Elephas maximus indicus: one gene and its partners. The protein of the gene in region 2 purifies or fractionates together with the protein of the main gene of each other region. This does not show direct contact. Links are inferred from orthologs where the notes say so. Each region holds a gene or a part of one and is shown on either strand. Other genes may lie near its edges.

Region 1 (7,716 bases), on a different chromosome or scaffold from region 2:
AGGCAATCAAAAACATAAAAAAGAACAGGTACCTTTTTGTTTCGCCTTCCCTCCACACTTACCTCCTTGCTGTCCGTCACGGGAACCCACTTAAATATCCTGAGGGAAGTGTCACCCACAGTCACCCATTTTTTCTCCCTAAAAGAAAAACATTTCTTAGAACTGATGAAACAATAAGATGGATTTTTTCATAATTTGTGCTTTTCTACGTCTCAGCAGGTCATCCCTACGATCTGGAATGCCTTATACACCTCTCTATCAAATTATGCCTTGCCTTTCAGCACAAAATAACCCCTTCCAGAGAGACTTCCCTATCAATGCCTTTGGCTCTGAACCCTCTGCTTGCCCCCTTTCCTCACACACAGCACGCCAAGCCTTTTTCCTTGTAGACCACACAACAGAGCACAGCACATTTTCAGACCCAGGTATTTACCTGGTTCCACTCCTTTATTCCCCCAAAACTAATTTGATGCCACTGATACTTACAAAGCTCCATTATACAAAGCCCTGCAAGAGATAAAGGATGTATAAGATACCAAACCCGTTACCCTGGGAGCTCGTAAAGAGTGAAAAAGGTAAGGAAACTATTGTAATACATGAAGGTGGCAAAGAAGTTGAGAAGCTCAAAGACCAAGTCAGACTAGGCCAGCCTGTGGAATGTATAACTCCTATGATTCCTGTGGAACTAGTTGGGGTGAAGTGAAGCACGACTTCATTTTAAAATAATCACAGTAGCAGGGCAGGACGCTTGCTGCTATCAGAGCTGAGCCTTACACTGGCTCCTGGAGGAAGTAAAGGCCAAGCCATGGGAAAGACTGCTTTAAGGTTTTATTTTGCAGAGGAAGTAACTTTTGATATAAGGTTTAAAAATGAGTATTTTTCCCCCCAGGCACATACCTGGGGAAAGGCACGTGACATCCCAGGGTAAGAGAGTAGACTACAGACAAGCAGAGGCGGAGAGCCTGAAGTTGTGTTTGGAGAACAGCACGTAATCGAGTTTAATGCTGGAGGTACCTGAAAAGCTGGAAAGTTCATCTGAGGCAGCTTTGGAGAAGGAATTAAGTATCAGACTGAGGAAGACACACATCCACACGCACAGCGCCAGGCTGCACGTTGCACCGTATTCTTTCACTTGCCTGTGACTTACTTGGTGTGCTTTATTATCTACCATGCGCATGCTCTTTATCTCTAATGGCTGTATGAGAGTACGGACTGCCATTTATCCGGCACATACTCCTCAGTGAAGCCAAGGGATGCTCTGCGTCACCAACCAACCGCCTGGCCTTGCCACCCACGGACTCGAACCATAAAGTAGGATGCGGAAAGCAGTAACTCTAACCCTCCTGTAGTCACAGCTCGCTTTTTGCTCCTGGGTCCCTTCTTGCACACCCTTATTAAATAATAATAATTTTTCCAGTGTTTTTGAACTATTAGCCAATTTACCAAAATATAACTTCAATAAAGATCACGGGCTATTGATGCATCTTCAAATCTCTACCATTCTATTACTACTAAAAATACAGTCAACAGAAATAAACTTATAGGTTAGCTATTCTATTTAAACAAATATCAATAAAAAATGTTCTGATAATTTTCGAGATCATCTCTAAGTCTCCAGGCTGGTCTAGGCTTGTGCTGTTATGACACTGAACAGGTTACCACAGAGCTTTCAGACTAAGACAAGGAAGAAAGGTCTGGTGATCTGCTTCTGAAAATTAGCCAGTGAAAACTCTATGGATCACAAGTGTCTGATCTGCCACCAATCGTGAGGATGGTGCAGGATCGAGCAACATTTCATGCCACTGTGCATGGGGTCACCATGAGCTCGAACCAACTTGATGGCAGCAAACAATATATCCTTACGAAGTAAAAAATAACAGAGATTAACCACTACACTCACAAGATAAAAAAAAGGCATTAGGAAGGATAAAACTCTTGCCCAAGGTCACTCTCTAGATCACTATTAAGGCCTCACAACTCTAGCTAAACCTGATTACATCAAATGCCAGTGTTCTGAAGTGGCACACAGAAGCACCTTCAATGTGCTTACGTGTGTGCGCAGAAGAAACAAGGGAGACTACCCTTTGTTCCAAAAGGTTACTTCTCTAAGTATGCCAGACACAGAATGAATTTGTTTATTCTAAGAGCCACTGGTGTCCCTATGAGGTACCTGCTGTCAGCAGGAATGAGGGCCAGACGCAGAAAGCTGCTTTGCGACAGATGTAAAACAACTCTGAAGGTTTCAAGTCCAAATTTGAGATCACACACAAAAAAAAGTAACCAATGCTCTTCAGCAAATGATGACATCACAGAAATGGAGACAGACTGTGACGTAACAGAAAGAAGGATGAACTAAAGATTCAAGAAACTGGAGTTTAGTTCCAGACAGGCCACTCCATTTCCTCATTTGTTCAAGAAATATTTAACGTACAAATTCCTGTATTAGGCCCTGGGGTTGCAGCGAGAGAGGAGATACAGGTTCCTACCCTCACAGAGTCTGCATTCCAGCTGGAAACAGACATTAAACAACTATTTCAAAATCAGCCACTTAATCATTAATTTGAAACATATAAAATTGCCATTTTTGTAGATTAAATACTCAAATATAAGGCATTTCTCAGGGTTGTGTAAAGTTCTATGAAGCAGACCCGACCTAGATTGAGAATTTTGAAAAGTATCCCTGAGAAGCCAACTTTTGAACTAAGCTCTGGGAGTTAACCCAGGAAGGGGGTGGAGAGAGGGGAGGAGGAAGGATGCCTGGCAGCAGAACAGGAGTGTGCGACAACAGCCTCCTGGCAAAGAGGGCAGTTTGAGCGAGACAGGCAAGGCAGGAAAGATCTGCTTTGGTCTTTATCCTGAGATAAGAAGACAAGAGGCCACTGAAGCGTTATTTTCTAACCAGGGGATGCTATGGTAACATTTTCACTTTAAAAAGATCACTCTGGTAACTGAAAATAAGAAAAACGAAATCGTTCCGACTGCAATGTGAAGTAGGGACTGGGTAGGCGGCCAGTGTAGAAGCAGGGAGATGACGGAGGCGCTGGTGCCGATGTCTAGGTGAAGATGATAATCTGGCCTCGGTGACAGGTGAGGACAAAGATGTCGAGGAGAAAAAAAAGGTGTACCGATTCTTACGTTTAACCAAAACCTAGGAGAATTAGATTTAGAGAGGAAAAATCATTTAATTTCGGAGTCCCAAATAAGAAGCTTTCTCTTGTTGGGAAATAGACAAACACACGAATACAGACCTGAGTAATGATGTCCCCAAAAGGGTGGAGGGTGAGGGGTGACGGGCTGGAGAAGGCCTCCTGGAGGAAACTAAGACCCATCCATCGGGGCTTCTGATAGGGAAAAGGGGAAGGAAAGGGCTCAAGGAGGCATCAAAAAGTCGCCCGTGAGTGTTAAATGCGATAACGCACCCGAGTTCCTGCTACAAGACAGGCGCTCATTCCGTCTCCAAACAAGGGCTAGGCCCAGGCCCCTCCACCAGCAGCCCCCAGGGCACGAGAAAGTACCAGCGGTACATCTGGACCGTACGCCTCGGAGGTGCACCTGGAAAGTACACCTCGGAGGTACGCCTGGGAGGTACACCTGGAACGTGCACCTGGGAGGTACGCCTGGGAGGTGCACCTGGAACGTGCACCTGGGAGGTACGCCTGGGAGGTGCACCTGGAACGTGCACCTGGGAGGTACGCCTGGGAGGTACACCTGGAACGTGCGCCTGGGAGATACCTGGGAAGTGCACCTGGAACGTACACCTGGGAGGTGCACCTGGAACGTGCACCTGGGAGGTACGCCTGGGAGGTACACCTGGAACGTACACCTGGGAGGTACACCTGAAAGATGTCAGGGGAGGGGACGGGGCCCGATGTCCGCGGCCAGGCTGGCTTCCGCCGGCAGGCAGAATTACGGAGGGCTCTTACCCAACTTAAGTGAGTTAACACAGAAAGCCATCAGGCCGTCACACTGGACGCTCAGCGCTCGCGAGCCTTTGTGACGGGGCAGCTGAGAAACAAGCCCGAGCACGCCGGGCGGCGGCGAGAACGCCCCGGTAAGCGAGAGGGCGCGTTCGTCCGGTCCGCGCGGGAACCCTGCCGCCGCGCAGAGCGCAAGACCCGGCAGACCGAGCGCTGACCGGAAGCCGGCAGCCCCTCCCGGGCGACGCGCAGAGCGCAAGGCCCGACGGACCGAGCGCGGACCGGAAGCCAGCAGTCTCTCCCGGGAGACGCGCGGCCAGGTGGGCGGGCCCACGAGCCGGGCCGCCCGCTCATTGGTTGCAGCCGGCGCGCCCCCTGACCTCACGCCGACGCGGGCAGTAGCCACCTCCCGCTTCCTGCTTGCCCCCTCCCCCAGCGCCCGCCAGTTCGGCGCTCCCCGGGGCCGGCCCCCCAGGAGCCGCCGCCCCAGCCCCTCACCATTTCCGCACTTTCTCGATGGCCGCCATCACCTTCTTGATGTCGTCCTTGGCGCGGCTGCGGGTCTCGGCCCGGACCGACCGGCCCGACATGGCGGCGGCGGGGGCTGGGGCTCTGCTCCCAGGACACGGGATCGCGCGCCGCCCGCCGCCCACCGCCCGCAGCCGCAGCGTCACCGCCGCCCTGGCCCCCTCCGTGCGCGCGTGCGCGGGGAGCGCGCGCACCCGCCCGCCCCTTGGGGCTCGAGGCCTCAGCGCGCTTGCGCGCCCGCCCGCCGCCGGCGGCCCCCGCTGGGCGCCCCGCAACCCCTTAGCCCCGCGCAGGCCGGGTGCGCGGCGAGCGGGCGGCACGTGCAGTGGGCAGGGCGAGGTGCGAGGCCCCGGCTCTTCAGGGGTCAGAGGCCAGCACCTGCCGGAGCGGCTCCTGCGGCTTCCAGCCTGTGGCCTGGACGCTGCGGGCCCCGGGCGCCTGGCCTGCCCCGGTCAGCGCCCAGCTCCCCGGAGAGGTCCCAGAGCGGGACACCTTTCCCCAGCAGGCCGCTGACCCTCGCACACACCTGATCCCTGCAGCTGCCTCTTCGCTGCCGACATCCAGCTAAAACTCAGACACCTCCTCCGAATTCCGTGGGGTCCCACCTTATTCTGCAGTCTTTGAGTGCGACCCACCTACACTACCACCTTGTTCACACTTGATCCCTTGTCTCATTTCGTGCAGCAGCTGACTAAATGATGCCGACTTCTGCAAAGTTCTGTGCTAAGTGCTGAGGACACAAGGATGTGTATTTCGCACCGTGAACTCCCGGGTTAGTAGAACGTGCAAATCAGAAGAGGTATTTAAAATGTCATGTGATACTTGCTGGCTAAGAGAAGTATAGGGTGCTTTGACAGCTCGAAGTTAGATGGGGGCTTTCCAGAAAGCTTGGGGAGGAGAGAAAGTGAGCTTGAAGCTGATCTCTGAAAACAGGGTAGATGCTATTGTTCCAAGGGCTAACAGTGTCCACAGGCATTGAAAATGCTCCTTAGACGTTTATCGACACAGCTAATAGGCAGAGCAGATGGAAGCTTTGCAGGTACGAGGGTCAAGAATAGCTTCTACCTGACTGAGGAGTGGAAGAGCTGCACCAGCAAGTGGAGGGAAAAGCTGACTGAAGAAATAATGGGATCAAAGGTGGCACACCTATTTCTCAAACCCAACTGATCCAAAATCACCCACCGCCTGAGCTCTGCCATGTGCCCCATAGCAGAGGACACTGTGGGTGATGCAAAGATGGGTAAGACACTCCCTGCCCTCCAGCTGAGGATAAGGAAAGCAACAGGAACATAAAACATAAGGCAGAACATGTTAAGTGCCAGAGAGAGGCCAGGTTTCTAGACGCCTCCAATTCTGTTCATAGGTTTCCCTGGTGCAGGCATACAGCCCAACACCTGGCGGTTATGTCTAACCTCTGTCTCACCCTTGTCCAAGTCCTGACCAGCCTCCCCCTGGCCTCTGGAGGTTTCTGGCCTGTAGTTTCTTTCCACCTAACAGCTGCCCTGGTCTCTGGCGGCATCCAACCCTCCTCCAGCCCACGCTGCCCCACTGCCAGTCAGTCACTTTTTCTGACCAGGCCATCCCCAGCTCCAAAGTCCCAGTGACCCATGTTAACTGCTCACATTTGTTCGCCCCCATCTCCCACTGCAGCTTTGTCTGTGTGAGAGAGTATCAAAGCAGGCACATACCAACTATTCCCCACAGACCACACAAATGGTGACCTCTTTTTCTTTTTGAAAGTCACGCCTTGACATTTTTGAGGTGAAAGCCTGTTGCTGGATCCTGAGGGGGATGCAGAGATCAGCCAGCCCAGGCCTCGTCCCTGAAGAACTTGCACTCAAGGCAATGGTTTCCCTTCTCAGAGGAAAAGCTATAGTGGCCTCGATGCCTCGCACCATGTGCCTGCCACACCCCTCCCAAGAATTCTCTGACCTCACCTCCTATAACTTTCTCCTTTGCACTCTCCAACTGCTCTGGCCGCCTTGCTAATCTGAAAACATTCACTCAAGCTCCTGCCTCAGGACCTTTACACTGGAGGTTCTTCTGCCCATCCCCCATATATGTGCATGGTTCACTCCCTCACCCCTGCCTTTAATCTTTACTCAAATGTTCTCAGTGCAGCCTTCCCTGCCCACCCTACCTAAGGCTGCCACATCTGTTCCACGCACATTCCCTATCTCCCCACATTTTTCTTTGGAGCATTCATCATCTAAAATACTATTTGTTTATGTTGGTTATTATCTATCTCCCGATTTCAGTTGCTCCATGAAGGTAGCAACATGGTCCATTAGTTCACTGATTGTCCCCAACACCTAGAACAGAGCCGGGCACTCAGTAGGTACTCATAAATACTTGTTGAATGAGTGAATGACCAACATCAATGCTTCCCCCTTCCATAAACCCTTCCCAGATCACTCCAAGCAGAAGGAAAGAGACCTTCCTCCCATGAACCCCCACAGGACTCTGAACACATTCTGTATTATACCCTGAACTCTCCTAAAAGGCAAGGATTTCCAAGGCAGTCTAGACAAAAAGCCACCCTGAAGACCACTGGTAGCTAAAGAAACCTGTTTGAGGAGAAGCCTCATGGTGTAGGAGTCTCAAACACGCTGAGGTTCCTCTCTCTTTCCTCCTTCATAGGTTAAGATGGGGGAAAGAGGATAAGAATCAATGTCTCCCTCCTTTCTGCAAAAGCCACTGGAAGGTCTACTCCTGTGTCAGGCCACAGAAACCAAAACACAGTGCTGAGGAGCAAAGAAGACGTGAGATGTTGTGAAGGATTCCCCGGGCACTCTAAGCAGCGACGGTGGAAACCCGTGGAATTCACTGAGAGAAGTTTCAGGGGCTAAAAAATGGAAATGATTCAAGGAGGCCTTCAAAACTTTCACAGGGGGTGGTTCCCTGGTACGTTGTTAATGCGAAGTACCAGGAAGCCAGAAACAAGAACGCGGCCAATGAGGACACAGCATAGGCAGAGAGAGCCCAGTGGTGCCCCGACGACCATGAGGCTCACCCAAGAAAGCTGTTAGAATGCAGATTCCTGGGCCCTATCACCAAGGTTTTGTCTCCATGGTTCTGTAGATGGCTTGTGCATGTGTTTTGTTTTGTTTTTGTTTAAAGGTATACAGTTAAGTTTAAAAGTTAAAAAATAAACAAGTCCCTCCCTCCTGATCCTGCACTCACCCTGTCCTTGTCACCCTCTGCCTAACCTTCCAGAGACAGTCTACACTGATACTGTCAACGTTGGCTGCACCTGGGGAACTCCAAAAAA
Region 2 (3,600 bases):
CTCGCCAGATGTCTAGTCTCGGTAAAGAAAACAGCAGAAAGGAGGCCCTGGACATCCCAAACCAGGAAGATGAAATTCTGCTGCCACCAGCACAGATTGCCAGTGTTGGGTGCTGGGAGTGAAGGAAGCTTCCTACTCTTCCCTCAGCTATATCCTGAAATATGATTTGCAGGACCCTGTTATCGTGGCACCTGATTTCTAGCCAACAACACAGAGGGTTGTAAAATAACTGAAGGTTTATGGAGCTCAGGCCATGGAAGCAATGCCTACAGGGCTCACTAAACATGACCACAGTGTTATTTCTTGGAGGGATTTTGTGGAAGGTCAAGACTCCCCCCTAAAATTAGCCTAATGAGAAAGACACAAGGAAGTGAGGTAGGGCAAGAAGACTGAGAAAAAGCTTGTATGTTTTGATTGTAATAGGAACTGGGCACAAATGTCTTCGAGGCTTGGTGTAGGCCCTCCTTGATGGGAAGGACCAGCACTTGCCTGGTGGGGAACACCAAGACGGTATCTTTCCTTTCTGAGGAAAATATATCTGACAAAAACAAACGTGGGACTACTTAAACATTTCCATACTACACTGTCTAGCATCCTAGCCTTTCTGTCCTAGTTGAAGCCGATCCAGAGGTTAACTTTCTCTTACCTTTTGACCCTTGTTTCCTGAACCCTAAGCACAGAGACTAGAACTCCTCTCAGTAGGAGGTGTAAAGAGATCAGTGAAGGAAAAGGTAAATAACAAAGAGCTAAGAGCATGAAAGCTGAACCAGGTCACAGACTGTCAATTCCTCCAGGGCCACAGACTAAAAGCTCCTAGCCTGATCTTTCTTCCAAAAGGTCAAAGGTAGAAGCCTGGGAACCAGAGCCTCACACCGAGGTGCAGACAGGCCACAAACAGACCCAGCAGCTGTTTGTCAGAATTCCGACACCCAGGGAGACCCTGAGAACAGGGCCAGACTCATAGCCAGGATCAGAGGGGAAGTCTACCCATCACACTTCTGACAGGCTGCAAGGCTGGACAGGAAGAGTTGGAAAGTAGAAAGAGAGCCCTAATTGGGGGTAATGGGAAAGACAGGAGGCAAAGACCATCTCCAGCGAAACACCCTATATGTAAACGTTCCTTTTACCAGGCCCAAAGACAAAGAAGACACTAGGAAAAGGTTTGCTAACAGGACAGGTAAGGCTTCTTGAGTCCTTTGTTCACTACTTTATTATCTTCACTCATGGGGTTGATGGTGGGAGGCTAGTTATAAGGCTTGTCCTAGCCTCTGAACTCCAAACCCATGGCAATGCAAGGCTAGATGCTGGATGCCTTCACTGTGAAGCCAAGGAATGGTTTTAGAGGCCGCTCCCTAGAAACTCCTATACCCTGGTTCCCAAAGAGGTTTTGGTGCCTCTTAGATGGAGGCTGGGGGATGAGCGGTGGAGACAGGTGATCCCCAGATGGGGGCCTTATTTCAGGCCGATGATCAGCCAGGGGCCTGCTCTGTGGCTGTTCACGCTCCTGCTTTCATCATCTCTGAACACACACAAAGCACCAGGGAGGCCTCAGCCCTCCTGGTACCTGGCTCCGTGGGGAGCTCTGGCCGGCACTGTGGCGGGCGCGTTAGGGGGGCGCCCACTGGGTGCCCCGTCCGCCCCCTCCCCCTCCCCCCGGGCCTCTCTCCCAGAAAAGCGGGAAGCCGGTGGCTTAAGAGCGGGTGGTCTGCTTGCACCGGGGCCCGCCGGGGCAGCAGAGAAAAACAAGGGGTAGAGGGCGCAGCAGTAGGGGCGGGGGCTGGAATCCGAGGCTGGGGGTGGGGGTAAAATGGGCTGGGGGAGGGGCGCGGGGCGCCGGGCGGGGCGGAGGGCGCGCTGAGCTGCTCGGAGGTCGCGGGGGAGGGGCCGGGGGCGGCAGGAGGGTGGGCAGGAGCCCGGGGGACTGCGGGGTCGCAGCGCCTTTGTCCCGCCCCCGGCTCCCGCGCGGCCCTGCCTGTCCGGGCCGCGTACCTTCTTGTAGTTCTTGCCGAGCCAGAGCCGCACGTTGTCGAACTGGGTCACGGTGTCCGCGGCCTCGTAGTACTTCACGTTGGGGCCGCCGTCCTTCTTCCGCACCGCCATCTTCTCGGGCTCGGGCCCGCCGCCGCCGTCCGCCCCGCTCAGCTCAGCTCCCGCCTCCTCCGCCTCCTCCTCCGCCCGCCTCCCGCCGCCTCCCGCCGCCGCGGCCGCCGCCTCCCGCCGCCTGGGCCGGCCCCGGCCCGCGCAGCGCCCCCTGCCGGCCGGCCGGGCGCGGCGGCGGCGGAGAGGCTCTGCGCCGGGCCAGACCCGGCGGCCTCCCCGGCGGCAGCGGCGGCGGCGGCAGCAGCGTCGGGGGCCTCCTGGGAAGCGGCTGCTTCCTGGAGGGGGCGTCCACTCTCCTGAAAACGCCCCTTACCTGACGCGAAGCCCTTTCTCTCTTTTGCCTCAGCTCGAGGGATGGGGTACGTCTCTAACCTACTTCTAGGACGTCGCCTGAGGAATCCCAGCCTGGAGTTGTCCTCTCCTTCCTTGCACATCCGTAACCCCAGAGTCCATAATCCCAAAGAACTCCAAACCCCTTTCCACAATACATTCCTTCCATCCATCCCCAGGAACTCCCCTTTAAACTCTTCCAGAGGTTCTCACCCCTAACACCTTGTTCCGGGACCTTTCTCTTACTCCTTAGCCCGAGGAGTCCCCTAGCCGCCACCGTGGGGGCCCAGTCCCTTCCCTCCAACCGCTTCCTCTTCAGGCCTCGCCATCGCCTCCTAAGCAGGTTTGCGCTCCTTGAGACCCTGACTCTTCGCTAGGCGGGAGACCTTCCTTATCAGCCCGTCCACCGACCCTTTTCCTTTGAGTGGCGGAGAGGAGAGGTAAGGAGCCGGAGGGATATAGGGGGTGTGTGGATGGGTCGGGGTCCCACTTCTCACTGCAGTTCTTCCCCGGTCGCAATGCGGACCCCTTCTGTAAGCGCACGGCGGAGCGCGGTTTTGGGAGTCACGGTGGCCGAGTGGTTAAGGCGTTGGACTCGAAATCCAATGGGGTTTCCCCGCACAGGTTCGAATCCTGTTCGTGACGGCGGCGCTTTTTTTTTTTTTTTTTTTTTTCCACGACATGTTAAGGGAGCCCCAGTCCCCGCACATGTCTTTCTTGCATTTCCCTTTCCCTCTCGAAAAAGGAAGCTGAAAGGTTTCACCCCTGGATTTGGGGGATGGGGGCTTACGGGAAGCTAAATTTATGCACAACTGCGTTGGCTGCTAGGCTGCAAGGCACTTTCAGAATTCTATAACCAGGTTTGCTAGCAAAGCGTTTCATTTTCCTGAGGGGGGGGGATAAAAAAGGATTTGGATAAAGAAGGGTTGTTTCAGTTTTGTTTGGGAATGTGTGTGAGTGCCTATTTTGTAATGATTGTTAAACCTGGATTTCCAGGAAAAGAGGGCACCTCTGAATTTCATGACCAGAAATCACACCTTGTGCGTTGTGGGTCTGATTACACCGAGGACCCAGGAAACAGGGCATTCTTTCATTTAGATTTCCTTGAGGAAGTGTACTTCAGGCATCACAGGGCTAGGAGGGAGTAGCCTATTGAAACATAAACACTGC
Region 3 (7,716 bases), on a different chromosome or scaffold from region 2:
GGCCTAGGTATTGTCCCCATTGCATAGATAAACAAACTAATGCTCAGAGAGGGGAAATGGATTGCTTAGAGCCACACAGCTAGTGGATAACAGAGCCAGGACTTGAACAGGGGCTTCTGTCTTCAGATCTACCACACTGAGGTTCATGTCTCAGAGCTCAGCTGATGTGCCACCTCCTCAGGGAAGCCTTCATTCACCAAACAATTGCTCTGTGCCTGGAGCTGTGCTGGGTAAGGCTAGGAACCCAGTTCTGCCCTCAGGAGCCCGTAGCCTAGTAGACAAGATACACACAAACCAACAGTCCCAAAACCAACCAAAACCCATTGCCATCAAGTCGATTCCAATTGATAGTGACCCATAGGATAGGGTACAGCTGCCCTATAGGGTTTCCAAGAAGTGCCTGGTAGTTTTGAACTGCCAACCTTTTGGTTAGCAGCCATAGCTCTTAACCACTATGCCACCAGGGTTTCCCAACAATCCCAAAACAGCCTAACAAATGATCAAATAAAGGGAGGGAAGCACAGGAATTGCGGGAGTTCTAAAAAGGAAAAACTGACAGAGCCTGGCATCAGGGAAGTCTTCCTAGAGGAAGTGGTGATTGAACTGAGAACTAATAGGATTAACCAGAAGTGTGGGGCAGGGGTTCCAGGTAGAGGGACAGCTAAGCATAGACAGGGAGGCACAATGCTTAGGCTTTCCAAGGGCAGGGACTGGGCTTTTGCATCAGTCTCTTTGCTGAGCATCTGGACAAGATGACGCCAATAAATGGGTTGGGTGACCCCAGGCCCAGAAGTCCCTGGTTCTGCCCTCTAGGCCTCCGTGGTGTTCTCGTGTGTGAAATGGGAATCCTGGGCCTAGCTTGATAATTGCTGGGCCCAGGGGAGGGCTGAGAAGGAGGTTCCTGGGATTCTCACAGGAGGAGAGGTGAAGGTTAAAAAGGGTCAGCAGTAAGGAGGACAGGACAAAGTGGGGAAAGTGTTAGGGAGGAAGGTCCTGGCTCAAGCCCCTACTCCACATCTGACTCATGGTGTGACTACAGGAAGGTCCTCTCAAAGAGTCTCAGTGACCCCATCTGAGAAATGGAGCATGTGACAAAACTGTCACCAAAGACCCTCCCCAGCCCTGACGGGGAAACAACATGACACAAAATTATAAAAGGGTCTTTATTTGTAAAAAGTCAAAGAGGCCCCTGGGGTGGCAGGATAGGCAGGCCGGCTTCTCAGGGGTCAGGGGCATTGGGGCAGATGCGCTTGAGTGGGGGGGCGCCCTCCGAGTCCTCTGTGTCACCCTGGGCTGCCTCGGGGACAGGTGGCACTGGCTCAAAGACGGGGTAAGCTTCAGGGGCCTGGAGAGGAAGGGCGGACAGGCGTGAGCTCCACCCAAACCCAGGAGTCCAGCCTCCTAGCCTCTGCCTTCTCCAAAGCCTCCACTCCACTCCCCTCCCGGACCCAGGAGTCTAGCCCAGAGCCAGGTACCCAAGATGCAGCTTAAGTAAGGCACAAGAAAAAACAACAACGACAAATTCTGGAGAAAGAATGTGATATTTGATATTTCGGAAAAATGCATCAACATAATCCTTGTGGGAAAAATCAGAACTTTATGGGGGACTTTATTAAGCTTAAGACATTGGCCGTCGCTAAAATATCCTCTCCTTTTTGGTCCCAAGAATCCAGCCTCTAAGCTTTTACCTGTGTTCTATGTCTACATTCCCCTTCTGGACCCAGGAGTACAGCCTCCGAGCCTTTGGCTAACCCCAAAGCTTCCAACCCCTCGAAGACCTAAAAGAACAGTGTTCTGGCCTCTCTCACCTCAGCTTCCAGCAATTCTGGAACAGGCTCTTCCTTGGTCAGCATCGGGGGTTCATCGGTGCCGCCCGTAGTTATGCCCCCAGGATCTGGAAGGTCAAGTTAACAGACATTCCCTGAGCAGCCAGCAACTCTGTGGCAGTAACACAAACCAGTCAGGGAAATAAATACCAACAAGCACCAACCACGTAAGCCAGAGGGTATGGGAGAATGAGGGAGGAGCCCGCACTGTTACTGTGATCCAGAAGGCAGCACAGAGGAAGGAACATTTATGTGGGATGTTGAAGGGTGAGTAGGATTTCATCCGGCAAACAGGTGGAGCACACTTTTCGCAGAAGGAATTCATGCTTAATGAGCACAACTTCTGGGGTTGGAGTGCCTGGGTTCATATTCTGACCTTGGTCAAACTACTTAATTTCTCTAAGTCTCAGTTTCCCTGTCTGTAAAATGGGGATAACAACAGTAGTTACCACATGAGATTGTTGTGAGGATTCAGTGAGACAATACAGGTAGAGCCCTTAGCACAACCAAGTACTCAGCGGGTATCAATTAGTGCTTTTGTATTAGCAAAGGCATAAGAGTGCATGGCACATACTCGTCACAGCAAGTAGGCCCATGTCATGAGGTTGCTGGGGGAGAACAATGAGGTTACCAGGGGCCAGTTCACGAAGGGCCCTGAATGCCAAGCTGGGGAGGAGTCAAAAGCCATGGGGAGCTACTGAAGGCTTTGAAGCAGGGAAGCTGACAAGCTTGTGGTTTAGTTACTCTGGCAGTTGTGTGGAAGCAACTGGATGGGGGTGACTGCTGAGGAGGCTAGAGCCAGCAGTGCATGAAAGATGGGATGGCCAGAGCCAGGCAGAGCCTGGGGAGGGAAAGGCAGGCATCGACTGGCTATATGGAAGAGGGAGCTTGCTGTGTGACTTCGACAACTTACGTAACTTCTCTGAGCATCGGTTTCGTCATCTATAAATGGGGATCGTAATACGACACACCTTCCCATAGGGTTGTGATGAAGATTAAAAAAGATAAAGTGAGTAAAGTGCTTAGAAGCATACCTGGCGCACAGTAAGCACTCAATATATATTACCTATTATCAATACCGTGTTAATTGCTTTTATGATTATCACTCAACGAATGTTCCTTGAGTACCTACTATGTGTCACATGGTGTTCTGAGGCAATTAGTGAACAAGATCGATATGAGCCCAACTTTCATGAAGCTGCTATCAGGTGGGACTGGGGGAGAAACATACTATACTAATAAAAAGTTAAATTTACATGAAATTTCAGATCGTGATAAGAGATCTACAGACCCTAAGAAGCCAGAGGAATGAGACACACAGTAGCTAGAGATAGGGTGGTAACTTTCCACAGAAGCCAAGGAAGAGCCTCCTTGATGAGGCAACAAAAGAGGAGGAACAGACATGCAGGGAAGCTGGTGGGTTCAGCTTTGTAGCGAACAGGATTCATCAGAGGAGCGGGCTCCCAGGAGGCACCTGGTCCTACCTCTCTCCTGGCCCAGCTGTGGGGGCTGAGCCTCTTCTGGGACCCCATCTTGGGGTCCGGCAGGCGATTCAGGACGGCTGGGCTGGGGGGTGCCCCCAGGGCTGGGCTCGGTGCCCTTTTGCAGAGACCCTTCCGAATGAAAACTCTGGTTGCTGTTCTCATCTGTGGGAACAAGAACCAGAAGGGTTGGGCCTGAGGCCCCAAGTTCTCTCTTCCATGCCCCTCACCCCCTAAATCCCAGGATCCCCACATACCATTGAGATCGAGCAGGATGAGAGGACCACCCCCTCGGGGACTGGAGACCCTGCCCCGCCGCTCCCGGCCACGGGATCTTTCTGCACCACCAGCCGCCCGTCGTCGGTCCTAGGGGTTAGAGGGGTAAGGGTCAGGGCCCCAACTGCCTTTCTGGTTAGCTCTTGCAATCCTCCCACCCCGTACAGATAAGGAAACTGAGGCAGAGAGAAGCAAAAGGCCTTGCCTGAGGTGACAGAGGTTGTGCATGCTGAGTTAGGTTCTGAATTCTGGGCTCTGGAGCAGGGAAAAAGAAGGGGGCTGGGGTGGCTAATAATTGTTGACATCTGCCTAAACTGCTGCATTTGAGGTCTGAGTGGGGACTAGATGTGGAGGCCAGGGTGGGCAGGAGCTTGGCTGAGGTTGCACAGATGCAGGGTCTGGTGGAGGGGGGGCTTGCTCACCTCCTCCTGGGGGTCCACCACTGGCACCCACTTGAAGATACGAAGGGAAGTGTCGCCCACAGTCACCCAGCGCTTCTCCCTGTGGGAGGATGGGGGGTAGCTGGGTCAGAGAGGCTTGGGGGAAAAGCCCCCCAGCTGGACACATCTGGGGGTACCTGCAGAGGTGGGGGAGGGGCACGAGGGGAGGGACAGTTTTGTTAATAGGGCGTAGTGAGAGGGCCAAAGAGAGCCCTGCAGACCTCAGGGCATAGATGAGAGTGCGTCTAGGGAGGGTATGGCTTGGGACTGTGGCGCTGCAAAAATGGGGGCATGGCTCTGGGCCTGGGTGAGGACCATGGCAATGAAGATCCTGGGGCACACTTAGGATGGAGGGAGTCACAGCTTTAGGAGGCAGGGCACAAAAATTGGAGCCCTACTATGGGAGGGCACGGCTGGAGATCACCAGGGCAAGGGAGAATGAGCCCTGTCAATCCGGGGCACAGCTGGGCACACGCCTAACACCTGGGGCTACAGCTGGCATGGGGAGGGTAAATGCATTTGGGGGCGGTAGCCCTGCTATGTCCCATCCGCGTCCCTGTCGCTGAGCTCACCATCTCCGGACCTTCTCGATGGTCGCCATCACCTTCTTGATGTCATCCTTGGCCCGGCTCCGGGTCTCGGCCCGCACAGTCCGGCCCGCCATGCTGGCGGGGCTGGGACCGAGGCAGGGCCCGTGGCGGGGCCGCCTCCCGTCCGGCGGGCTCAGGCTCGGCGCCAAGCAGGGGCGCCGCTCTCCAGGCCTGCCGACCCTCCGGGAGTTGGCCGCGCCCTCCCTCGCTCCCCAACGCCTCCGCGAATCCCCGCCCCGCTTCCTGCCGCCGCGCCCCGCCCCGGCCCGTCCCCGGAGCGGCCCGGCGGCGCGGGCGGCGGGAGCCGAGGTTTGGAAGCCCGGCCGGCCCCGCCCCGACCCGGGCCCGCCCCCTCGGGGCGTCCGGACGCGCAGCGCCCCCTGCCCGCCACCGAGAGGGAGAGTTAGGGGCAGCTGGGCGACTGGACGCGCGCGACCGGCCAGAGGCGGTGCGTTCAGGCCACGTGGGCCCCGGGGATGCGCGCGGGGGTCCGTGTCCGGATGTGCGTCCCCCGCGCTTGGGCGTCCCTGAAATTCTGGGTGAGGGTGTGTTTATGTATGTGTGTGTCCACCCTCGCCAAGTTGTCTGATTCTATGTTGCCCAGCTCATCCATTCATTCAACAGTCTACTGAGTGCCAACTATGTGCCAGGTTCTGCCAGTATGAGTGGGTCTCCACCCACCGGAATGACTAAAATGAAAATGACAGACCATACCAAGGTAGGCGAGGAAGCAGAGCAAGTGGAACTCATATTTAGGCGGGGAGTTGGGGGGGTGTAAATTGGTAGAGCCACTTTGGAAAACAGGCAGTTTTCTAGTGAAGCTGGCCATATGATCCAGCAGTTCCAATCCTAAGTCGTCAACGCCCAACGGAGGTATGAACACCAAGAGATGTGTACTAGAAAGTTCATAGCACTGTTCATAATAGCCCCAAATTGGAAACAACTCAAATGCCCATCAACAGGAGACTGGAAAATGAATTGTAGCCTATTCACACCCGTGGGCACAGCAATGAGAATGATTGATTCCTGCTACACCTAACAAACCCTGGTGGCGTAGTGGTTAAGTGCTACGGCTGCTAACCAAGAGACCGGCAGTTTGAATCTGCCAGGCGCACCGTGGAAACTCTGTCGGGCAGTTCTACTCTGTCCGATAGGGTTGCTATGAGTTGGAATCGACTCGACGGCAGTGGCTTTGGTTTTTACACCCAACAACGTGGATAAGTCTCATGAACATCTGAGTGAAAGAAGACACAAGCTTCCATTTATATGAAGTTTGAAAACGACAAAATTATGGTGTGAGAAGGCAGGATAGTGGTCACCCTTGGGGGATACTGACTGGGAATGGCTAAGAGGGGGGTTTCTCCAAGCAGATCCTGTTCTGTTTCTTAATGTGGTGCTGGTTCCTTGGGCATGTTTATCATATGGGAAGTCATCAAGCTGTGTACTTATAATGTGTGCACTTTTCTGTATGTGTATTTTACTTCAATAAAAAGTTTTCTTAAAGAAAATGACTGTGTCTTGGTTGGTTTTATTGGACACCGTGCTTGTCAGCAGACCCTTGGTGAGCTTGGCGACAAACAAAAAGGTTGGCAGTTCGAATCCGCCAGCTGATCTTTAGAAACCTTATGGGGCAGCCCTACTCTGTCCTATAGGATCACTATGAGTCGGAATCAACTTGACAGCGATGGGTTTACAGGTGCTTGTCAGCAGATATAAATGTGTGTTGCTATGTGTGAGTGTGTTTCAAGGGTATGTCTGTTGTGTCTGTGCTGTTGTGTGACCGTCCGGAGGGGTTAAGGTATAGCAAGGTGATGATGAGAGCATCTCTGGAGCTAAACTGCTGGGGAGAAATCCCAACTGTGCCACACTTACCTATGTGGCCTTGGACGAGTCACTTATCTGTCTATACTTCTAATTCCTTGTCTATAGAATGGGGGTGATAATATTACCTACCTTTTTATATTGTTATAAGCATTAAGGAAACCCTAGTGGCATAGTGGTTAAGTGTTACGGCTGCTAACCAAAGGGTCAGCAGTTCGAATCCACCGGGCACTCCTTGGAAACCCTATGGGGCAGTTCTACTCTGTCCTATAGAGTGGCTGTGAGTCGGAATCGACTCGATGGCAACAGGGTGAATGAGTTTATAAGCATTAAGCAAGTTAATACATGAATACATGTATAGCTCTTAGAGCCTGCACATAATAAACCCTCAATAAATATTAACTGTGAATAAAGAGTGCAGCCTCAGTTGCACCTGCTCTGCTGTCTGCCAGTTAATCCCTGCATTCCTTTATTCTGGCAGTTTGTCTGCCCATGTCAACATCCTCACAGACACACAGTCCTTTTGCTCACAGTCTCCATTGTGTATGGTCTCTCTCATCAGACTGTGAGTTCCTTAGGGGGTCTGAGACCCCATATGGATCGTATCTGTGTCCCAGGATCCAGAGCAGAGTAGGCACTCTAGAACCATCTCTAGGGATGTGTATGCAGACCCCCTAGTGTCTATCTGCACCAGGTTAGTGGGGTTACGTGTGAGTGTGACCTCCTGCACCTGTCTCTGAAGCTTGCTCCTATGTAAGAATGAGTGTATGCATTAACTTTCAATAGATGCATGTGTGTGTGTCAGTGGGGTGAGGTGAGATGAGGTGATGTGTCTCCCTCCTGGTAGGTGTGACAACCAGCATGTGCTTGAAGAAAGGAGACGGGGAATATCAATGTGACAATGAGACTGTGCTGACTGGGTGGAACGCATATAAGATACAGGTGTGTGTCTGGGTAGGTGTGCCCCCAAGCCCTAGAGACTCCTACCGGACAACCCTCTCACCTAGCCTCCCTTTGTCTCCAAGAGGAAGGGCTTGCACATCCTCTCCTGCCAGCCCCTCAGCCTCCCTCTTTATCTCCTAGTGCCAGGCCCTGCCCCAGGTCGGTGCCTGAGCCTCCTCCTGGTGGGACGCAGGGCTGCTTCCCATGCCCCCGACCCTCGGTCCCAGGTCCCAAGCCCATAGTGCCAATAAGCTGTCCCCCCCACCCCACCCCTTAGGTCCCTCTCGGGTTAGGCTGCGTAGGCTGGGAGCTGAGCTCAGGGCCAAGGAATCTTGCCTGG

Evidence for each region. The genes of interacting proteins can lie anywhere in the genome.
Region 1: the proteins of SMARCC2 (region 2) and BCL7B purify together in Homo sapiens (affinity purification with mass spectrometry; 3 studies listed by BioGRID and IntAct, counting the BioPlex papers as one, with this or other methods). This does not show direct contact. The link is inferred for Elephas maximus indicus from reciprocal best matches to the Homo sapiens genes SMARCC2 and BCL7B.
Region 3: the proteins of SMARCC2 (region 2) and BCL7C purify together in Homo sapiens (affinity purification with mass spectrometry; 4 studies listed by BioGRID and IntAct, counting the BioPlex papers as one, with this or other methods). This does not show direct contact. The link is inferred for Elephas maximus indicus from reciprocal best matches to the Homo sapiens genes SMARCC2 and BCL7C.

What each region holds. Positions count from the first base shown.
Region 1 is NC_064830.1:110,068,122-110,075,837, reverse strand, and holds the start of BCL7B (B-cell CLL/lymphoma 7 protein family member B), read right to left. Parts: upstream 4,593-7,716; 5' UTR 4,508-4,592; coding exon 4,416-4,507; intron 4,046-4,415; exon of another isoform or gene 3,831-4,045; intron 3,792-3,830; exon of another isoform or gene 3,690-3,791; intron 3,638-3,689; exon of another isoform or gene 3,563-3,637; intron 139-3,562; coding exon 63-138; intron 1-62. UniProt on the Homo sapiens protein: Positive regulator of apoptosis. Plays a role in the Wnt signaling pathway, negatively regulating the expression of Wnt signaling components CTNNB1 and HMGA1.
Region 2 is NC_064822.1:116,161,963-116,165,562, forward strand, and holds the start of SMARCC2 (SWI/SNF complex subunit SMARCC2), read right to left. Parts: upstream 2,170-3,600; 5' UTR 2,101-2,169; coding exon 1,990-2,100; intron 1-1,989. UniProt on the Homo sapiens protein: Involved in transcriptional activation and repression of select genes by chromatin remodeling (alteration of DNA-nucleosome topology).
Region 3 is NC_064830.1:90,161,859-90,169,574, forward strand, and holds BCL7C (B-cell CLL/lymphoma 7 protein family member C), read right to left. Parts: upstream 4,921-7,716; 5' UTR 4,688-4,920; coding exon 4,596-4,687; intron 4,085-4,595; coding exon 4,006-4,084; intron 3,674-4,005; coding exon 3,565-3,673; intron 3,473-3,564; coding exon 3,311-3,472; intron 1,895-3,310; coding exon 1,809-1,894; intron 1,346-1,808; coding exon 1,220-1,345; 3' UTR 1,137-1,219; downstream 1-1,136. UniProt on the Homo sapiens protein: May play an anti-apoptotic role.